2 linked regions of the Oryzias latipes genome follow. The protein of the gene in region 2 interacts with the protein of the main gene of each other region in a pairwise test. Links are inferred from orthologs where the notes say so. Each region holds a gene or a part of one and is shown on either strand. Other genes may lie near its edges.

Region 1 (4,274 bases), about 6.9 Mb from region 2:
AATATGTATTGTACCCCAGTTTTCTTTGGGGCCAGAATGATGGGGTGAAGTTCATTAGATTTGTAAATGTGTTTACTTTATTTTGAACAAAACAACTATATGAGTTAGAGTTTAATCAACGGTCCACCATGTTGAAAAGCGATAAATGTGCACACTCTCCATTTTGTTCAACAAGGATTAGGAAGAAGAAGCAGAGAGCTTTGTGAGCTCTCCCCATAAAATATGTATGAATGCAAAACATCAGTCTCTCACTCACACCTTCCATTATTCATTCAAGCTCACTATGTCTCCCTTCTATACTCAAAAACAAATACAATGATGGAACTGGAGGACAAGTGCTAGTGAGCTTTTCGTTTCACTCAGAATTAACACTCTCTGGGCTTGCATGCGCTCGCTTATGTTCAAATTTATCTGCAGATTAAACGCTTCAGAGAACACTCTCATCTTGGCTATAAGCAACATTAGATTTAGTGCAATACGTTTCCGGTCAAATTTATGGAAACACTGGAGGGACTGTCTTTTTACTTGTCATTGTAATTAAGGTTTTTACAGTGTAGTATGTATATGTAATCTTTTTATCTTGGTATTTATTCTTATCCTTTTTAATTAATTTGTTTGTATTAAGTATTTTCTATTAACTTTTTTATGAACTGTAACTATACACTGTACCTCAGCTGTGTATTCTTGACACTGTATTTTTTTTTTAAATGTGGTGGGTCTGTGTACTCCTTTTTACTGATTGGACCATGAGTCTGGAATAAATTCTATCTATCTATCTATCTATCTATCTATCTATCTATCTATCTATCTATCTATCTATCTATCTATCTATCTATCTATCTATCTATCTATCTATCTATCTATCTATCTATCTATCTATGAAACTTCATGGGATTAAGGAAACATGGAAGGACACATTTATGGTGTTTGAAAAATTTGTGCAATGAGGACAGAATTACAAACTAAATTGGTAATAAAGCAGCAGTTCAATGAAAACATCATAAAAAGTATTTTAAAAATATTCAAGGAAAGGTACACAAAGGACATATACTTGGCACGTAATTAGTTGATCATACTACTAACCCATATGTCCTCGTAGGCTCGTTTTTATGAAGTACCGCTGAGAAACAGCTGTGAAAGAAAATTAGAGGAAGTGGCAAACTAGACAGAAAAGTGTTCATGGGGATTTACGAATGTGCAACAGATGTGGAAAGGTTGAACAGGAAAGCGATGGGACAAGAAAAAAGGTCTTTGCTCGTGGAGTGGACGTGAACGCAACACGAGTCACGTGATTACAAATCCCGGAAGTGAAACGAGTGTCAACAGAGCGGTGAGTCTGCATCTTTCTTTTTATTCATAGGGTTGTTTCTTGTTCAGTTTTTAAATACATAAATAAATAAAATGTTCGGAAACTTTTATTTGAAATGTTCACAAGAAGCAAAATAATGTTTAATTAAGAAAAAACGTCACTACACGGCTGTCCTCTGTTCATTTTTTAAACAACCGTTTAGGTAATTGTTAGTATTGTAAATGTTCTCTAAACATGTAAACTTGTTTTAAAAGTCACTTGACAAAAAGATGCATCTTTAAGCAAAGGCACACATTTTCGGGTTAGCTTTAAGCTAACGGGGCATTCAAAACAGATGTCCCTGCTCTTGTTTGCGCAGACAATGATGGCGTCCTCAGACTGGCGCTTGTCTCTGAAACTGGCGGACCAGCCCAAATCCACCTTTCACTTCCCCGAGATGATGCCCGGAGATGTCCCACCTGGAGGATACAGAGTCGCCACCTTGAAGCAGCTTGTAGCAGCGCAGCTGCCAGACTCCGTCCCAGACCCTGAACTCATAGGTTTGTTAGCAGCAGAAATGGCTGCCTGTTGTTGTTGTTGTTGTTGTTGTTGTTGTTGTTGTTGTTGTTGTTGTTGTTGTTGTGTGTGTGTATAACTTGTTGTTCCTTGTTTTCCCAGAGCTGGTCCACTGTGGGCGAAAGCTCAAGGACGAGCTGACACTGGACGCCTGTGGGGTCCAGCCGGGATCCACAGTACACATTCTGAAGAAGACATGGCCAGAGCCGGAGAGCAGTCCAGGTCCGTGTCTGCTGCTGCGGTCAGAAGCTCTTGAAAGTCTCTCCCCATCACCGACACCTCGGCTCCGGATTTGTGTTTTTGCAGAGCCGGTGAACAGAGTGACTGCAGCCAGAGAGTTCCGGGTGTTCCACGCCGCTCTGCATTCGCTCAATTCAGCCTACAGAGACGCAGTGAGTCCATAACCAACAAAGACCCACTCTGTGTCCCGATTCCTTCACTACTCACTACATAGCCTACAAAGCTCCTAATACATGTTCTGATAACAAAAGTACCACAAAGATTTATTAATCTATTTATTTATTTATGTACTAAAAGTCTATATTAAAATTAGCAAGGCTCTAAAAAGAACTTAAATAAAAAAAAATCTCTTTTTGTCATTTTAAACTATTGGGTATATTTTGGAATTCGCTGAATGATATTAATAATTGTAGAAAATGTTTTGGAAACATCCATAAATCTTATGGATTGGATGGAAAAATCATAACTGTACAATTCTAACGCTTCCTGCTCAGTTTTTACACACAAGTGTGAGAAACCGAGCTTCAAAGCAGAGATGGCAAAACAGTTTACTTTTTTTTTTTAAAAAATGGGCAAAAAATTGTTCAAATGATGAAACTATATGAGATTCTACCAAACAGAAGTTGGATTTCGGAGCCAGAATCAGGGAGGACTGGAATCCCAGCAGCCCTCGGAGCGCTGGAACCCACAACATTTTTTTGGTCTTGCCATTAAAAACTGATCCCAAAAAAAAAGATCACCTAAAATCTGTTTTGTAGAATTCCAGAAATCTTTACAGCATGTTTTTACAGGTTTGTTTGAGTTTTGCAGTGATGGACTCTCATTTAATGTCTCACCTGGAGATCATTTCTCGTTCAATGGTTTCGTTTTACTCCCCAAGGTTTCCACTGTTTGTCTTAAATCACTATTATTTTTACTTATTATTATACATGTATATATTTTCCCCATATTTGTCTTTTTTTGAGCACATTTGAAGCCGTTTGTTGCACATATTGAATAGAAATATGGATGAACAGTTATGTCTCTGCCAAAGCACCTGTCTGAAACGGTGAAAGCTGATTCGCTGTGGCGACCCCAGACAGGATAAGTCAACTTATACATAAAAGAGCTAAAAGCTTCTGAATCTGAACAATCTTACTTGTTTTGTATTTTAGGATCTGGTGGTGAGCAGGATCTTTTGCTTGGTGTTTTTGGCTGAACTGGTAACTTTAGCACTGAAGACAATTTTTTGAAAATCATCAAAACCTCAGCCTGTTCTGCATTTACGTGGTGTAAAAAGATTCAGTTGGAATCAAAATGGAATCAGTAAAATCAGTTGTTTTGTTCTTGTTTGGACACTAAAAGCATCTAGACTTTGAACCAGAGGACAGGAACTCAAATGCTTCATGAATAGAAGCAGTCCGATTCTGAATGCTGGTTGTTCGGGAGTCAAATATTCTGGACGTTTTGGATCCAAACCAAAGCAGCTGCTGTTGGATTCTTCCATTTACTAATATTTTGACTCTGCAAAGGAATTTGGCTCCGGTGATTACATTCCTTTCCATTTGGCTGTCCGCACACCTGTCTTCACCGCAGTCTGGCTGTGATTAGATCACCTCCAATGCTTTTTATAGCTGTAGCTGAACAAAATCCCGGCCGGCGTTTGGTTATTCAGCTGGATCAGACTCTGACAGTAAAGGCTGGCGGAGCTCCATGGCAGTAATGGGAGCACTCGGCTTCTAAAAATCTGTGTTTGCTCTGAACTCTCAGGTCTATAAAATGCTGACGAATAAGGAGTCTCTGGATCAGATCATTGTAGCCACACCCGGCCTCAGGTCAGACCCGGTCGCTTTAGGTGAGAGCTGGACCAGCCACTTCCTGTGGGATATCTTTCGTGCATCGTAATGCTAACATTTCCCCTTCAATCTTCAGGAGTGCTTCAGGATAAGGATCTCTTTGTGCAGTTCACGGATCCAAACATGCTGGAAGTGTGAGTGGGACTTCTCAGTGTCCTCTGGTGACCCACAAGCTTCCGTTTAACAGTCGTGTCTGTCTGGTAGGTTAACCAGTTCCCACCCGGCACTGGTCAACGCCATCATCCTGGTCCTGCATTCAGTTGCAGGAAGCATGCCGACTCAGTCCAGTGCCAGCTCCTCCCGCTCTGCCAGCTCTTACAGTGAGATGCCAGGTG
Region 2 (4,338 bases):
CAAATATTTTAATTGTATAGAAACAGATGCTAATAAATTTTGTTATTCTGTATGAAAAATACGTATATATGTTTCATTTCGTATAACTACATACACACTTTATGGTTCTTATCTTATTTTGTGTGGCAAAAAAGAAAGCCCTAGTTTTTAATTCAATAATTATTGATTTCTTTTTAAATTAGCGTACTATATGTATGTTAGAAAAAACGTGAAAATTTATTGAACTCATACTTTGTTTGTTTAGTTATTTGCTTTTAATAAAACAAATACTATCATTTTTTCCATCCAGGATAAAGGCAAATTAGTCCAAAGTGTTATTTATTGATGTTTAAGTTTTAATCCCTCATATGTTGCTTTGCAAAATATGTAATTCGTCTTATTGAAGTTCAACTCCCGACACCTGTGGGAGACCCAAAAAATAACCTTAACAACAAGGACATGTTAGTCATGCATACATGTACAACCATCTTGAATAAAAAGATGTATACCGTAATTAAAATGTTTTTGCTTTAAATCACTTTTACCAACACTTAAATGTAGCATCAAAAATATAAAATGAAGCATTTATGAGAGCCAAATTCCATTTTAAATGATATTTTAATGCATATCAATTTAATCCAAATTCTCTCTTTAAATAATTGTTACATTGAATTTCAAACCTAATCTTTATTTATAAACTAAATATACTAAGTATAATTAAACCTTTGCATGGTTTTGGTCAATTGAACAAAAACAAAACAAGTCTAAATTGGTATCTCATCAAAAAATAAATTATTGTTTTAGATCAAACCTCAAGAGGATCCTCTTAAGAGGACAAGAGACACCGCTAGGTGGCGCTTTAATTTACGGTACCACTGAACTCTCACATTGCATGCAGTCGTCATCACTGTATGCCACGAGTAAACTGACCGCAGCACGCCTTCGAGACGGACAGTGTACTCATCCGCAAGGTTAAAGGATAATATTCTATCTCAACAAAAGAAACCTCGCCTTGTCATTTAACACATGTTTCATGTAAAATGTCAGACAACGCATCTCAGTGTAACCAGGAATCCAATCTCAAATAAATACGTTTCGAAACCTTTTCAAAAAGATAATCGAGAACCAGATGGTTAAAGAAAACAACAGGCTCTATTGCTAGCGCTTTATAATAACGGGAACAGACCGAGCGTGCATTGTAGAAAACTGATCAAATAGAATAATTGATTTAATATTACAAAAGACCAATAGTGACATAACGGAACTATTACCCATGGTGTCCTGTAAACAGAGCTGTATCAGGTGTAATCTCGGTCACAGTGGTGACTTCTCTGCTTCCAGCCGTTCCTGCGATGATGACAAACTTGAGCTGAACGCCTTTTACCATCCTCTGAGAGTGTAACCCTCCGCCTGCGGTAGATGTACTGAGGCTGGAGTAGCCACCATTTTGCATGTCTAGTGTGTTCCTCCCTCCATCGCTAATAGAGACGAGTCCAGTCCTTTTCTGGCGTCATTACGGCTAGTAAGTACTTTGAAACAATAACATATCGACAGAAATGTGATAAAATGTAATTTTCTTAAACAAAAAACATTACGCGTGTGTTCGTGTCTGCGTTGTTATCTCAGAGAGAGTGCCACTGCATAGGAAGTTGCAGCGCTCAGTGCGCCGGGGCAGTGCCTGTCAGTAAGCTAAGTTAGCTACCATGTAGAGCAGTGCTAGGTATCTACGGGCTTAGCTATGCAGAATTCCCAAGTGTTTTGTGAAATATTTATTGTGACAGCACCTAACGATGACTGTGTAGTTAATATTTCCACTACTGGACCACAGCTCTTGTCCTGTAACTTATACACTAGTTAACAGCGAACTGTCAGGTAGCGAGCTGACGGTAGTACAGGGGGCTAGCTAGCTAGTTTGTAATCCAAATGTTCCACGAAGGCCTAAACGCATCATGTCCTCTTCACTTGGTGAACTCAGTCAGGTGTCGTAGCTCGAGGTTAAACAAAACCACTTTTCTAATTATTTTGTATGTTCATGTTGTTAATATTAACTTCTTGCATTTTATCAAAAAGCGTGAGTAAGCGGTAAAGCCTCTGTTGTTGCTAAGGATGTCCAAACATGATCCCTTTCGAGTAAAATGGGCACTTTTTGTAAAGCTACTTTTTACTCAGTTGTTGTGCCTCGTCGTTAAGATACTTGACAGTTTGCTGGAGCTTTAGATGTGGTTTTTAAATATTTAAAAACTTTAAAATGTCGAGTCAAGTTAGCTTTTGACATCCAGGAAGCTATAGCTCACTAAAGACGTGAATTTGTTTTTATAATGTTTACAAAACAGTTGGTGTCATTGAAGCGTCTTCCTTAGTAGATTTCTGTAATGAAACATCTAATTAATTTCCATTATAGCACTTGTTGCTCAGGACTGGTTAACGTTAAGGAAGTCGAGGTATAAGTAGGAAGTGCGCTACGAGTGTGACGTTCTGCGTATCGACGTGTCTGCTGGGTTGTCTTTAGTGTTAATGTTTCTGTTGACCAGGACCAACACACCTTTCAGGAGTTCAGGGGCCTCTTGGCGTAGGTGAGGATAGGCTTACAATCATACTATAAATTAATTATTGGTTTACAATAATTGTTAATTAACATTTGGGGTTTGTTTTTCTCAACTCTTTCGTATTAAATGGTCAGTGAAAAATATTGAGTGTCTTGCCTTTTTACTTTAGGTCTGAGGCCTTAGTAACCACCAACACAAAGTATAAAAAATCCATTTTGTATTTTCAAGTTCAAAGGAAGTTTATGCATGTTAAGCAGCTTTGAATAGATGGAGTTAAAGGCCCTCTCCTGTTAAAATTGTTGGTGTTTTTAACATGTTCCCGTGGCATTGTTCTCATGATGGAGTACATATATGCATACATAGAAAATTAAGCTAAAAATAGAATTTCTGTGCATTTCTTTATTCAAATTGTTGTGAATCAAGAGCAGAAGAAAAAATGCACTTGGAAGAAGCTGTGACATAAGTCCCCTGTTCAGCTTTATTCTGATGCATCTACTTGTAGACTAATGGATCCAAATAGATTGGCATCTGGCGCAAAACTAAACAGCTGGATATCTCCGATATTGCTCGCCATTTTTGTTTCACCGTTAATGTTACGTTGGTGCTGTGAGGTACTGTACTAGGGAACCAGTGGGAGAGCACGTAAATAGATGATGGGAAGTAAGGGAAAGATTACAGCATGGCAATAGTCCCACCCACAACTCAGAGGTAATTTTCTAATGAGCAACAGATTACTAAGTAGTGAGTTAATAAGGGAAACTCCTTTAATGCTGAACTGTTTTGTTAGATGGATCAAATCTGTATATAAATGAATGGATTTGACCTTTTTAAATGCAAAGTTATCCCAATTTAATAAATGCTACTTGGCAAGTATTGAATCATTAAGATCCCAGATAAGTCCTGTTTTATTTGAGCTTTTGTTTGGGGCTGCTTCCCGATTGTTTTACTGCTCCTGTCACTAATGCAGTATTTTGTAGACTGGAAGAAGTGGCTAAAGATCTGCTGAACATATTGTGCATTTGCTTGGCTAATATAAGACTAGCAAAATAAAATGTCTGGGACCAAATGTAGTTTTGTTTAATGCAGATTTCCTCTTAACAAAGTTGCAAAGCATTATGGCCACCATTAATCCACATTATCTTGTTACTTTAGCCATTAGGACACAACTCCAATGTCCCCTCCTGTGACACACCCACATTAGCCAACTCCTCTGTTTTGCATTCAATCTGAAAGGGTTGTTCTTTTCACCCAGGGACATGGGGGTTGGTCATGCGTCTATCTTGGATTGCAATCTCCCCGAATTCATTGAAAACAAAATAAAATCCAAAATATATTTTTCATCCTGATTCTGTCCCTAAAACATGTCATGTCATGTGATTGACCATATTTCTCATCTCTAGAAGTGCTCATCCTGCAGTTTAAAATAATAAATCAGTCACTTCTTGGACAGATCTGAAAGCACAGTTTCATGAAAAGTTGAGCCACTTTTTGACAGGACACAAATAAAAACACCCAGCAGAATCTGTCGTGTGCTCTCTTAGGAATGGGGTCAGTAATTTTTTTAGGTGAAAATAATCTGCAGTGTCATGATTATTTATTAGCTCCAGCAACATGACAGCCAGGCTGATAGGATCATTTCTGCTGAGTCTGTGATTAGAACTGCAAGAGAGGCCTTCAAATAAAAAAAGGTTTTAGATTCACATAAACAAAAGTATGACCTCAACAGAAGTCTGAAATTGACAAGAGAGCAAAGTCTTCAGAGATGCCTTTTGTTTAACAGCCCACTTGAAGCTCATCCTTAGCTTTTGTGGAA

Evidence for each region.
Region 1: the proteins of ap1g1 (region 2) and ubl7 interact in binary tests that used the Homo sapiens proteins (3 or more experiments, as listed by UniProt). The two-hybrid records come from large-scale screens. The link is inferred for Oryzias latipes from reciprocal best matches to the Homo sapiens genes AP1G1 and UBL7.

What each region holds. Positions count from the first base shown.
Region 1 is NC_019861.2:28,019,089-28,023,362, forward strand, and holds the start of ubl7 (ubiquitin-like protein 7), read left to right. Parts: upstream 1-1,240; 5' UTR 1,241-1,330; intron 1,331-1,667; 5' UTR 1,668-1,670; coding exon 1,671-1,848; intron 1,849-1,966; coding exon 1,967-2,086; intron 2,087-2,170; coding exon 2,171-2,256; intron 2,257-3,853; coding exon 3,854-3,938; intron 3,939-4,015; coding exon 4,016-4,073; intron 4,074-4,143; coding exon 4,144-4,271; intron 4,272-4,274.
Region 2 is NC_019861.2:21,119,635-21,123,972, reverse strand, and holds the start of ap1g1 (AP-1 complex subunit gamma-1), read left to right. Parts: upstream 1-1,399; 5' UTR 1,400-1,501; intron 1,502-4,338. UniProt on the Homo sapiens protein: Subunit of clathrin-associated adaptor protein complex 1 that plays a role in protein sorting in the late-Golgi/trans-Golgi network (TGN) and/or endosomes.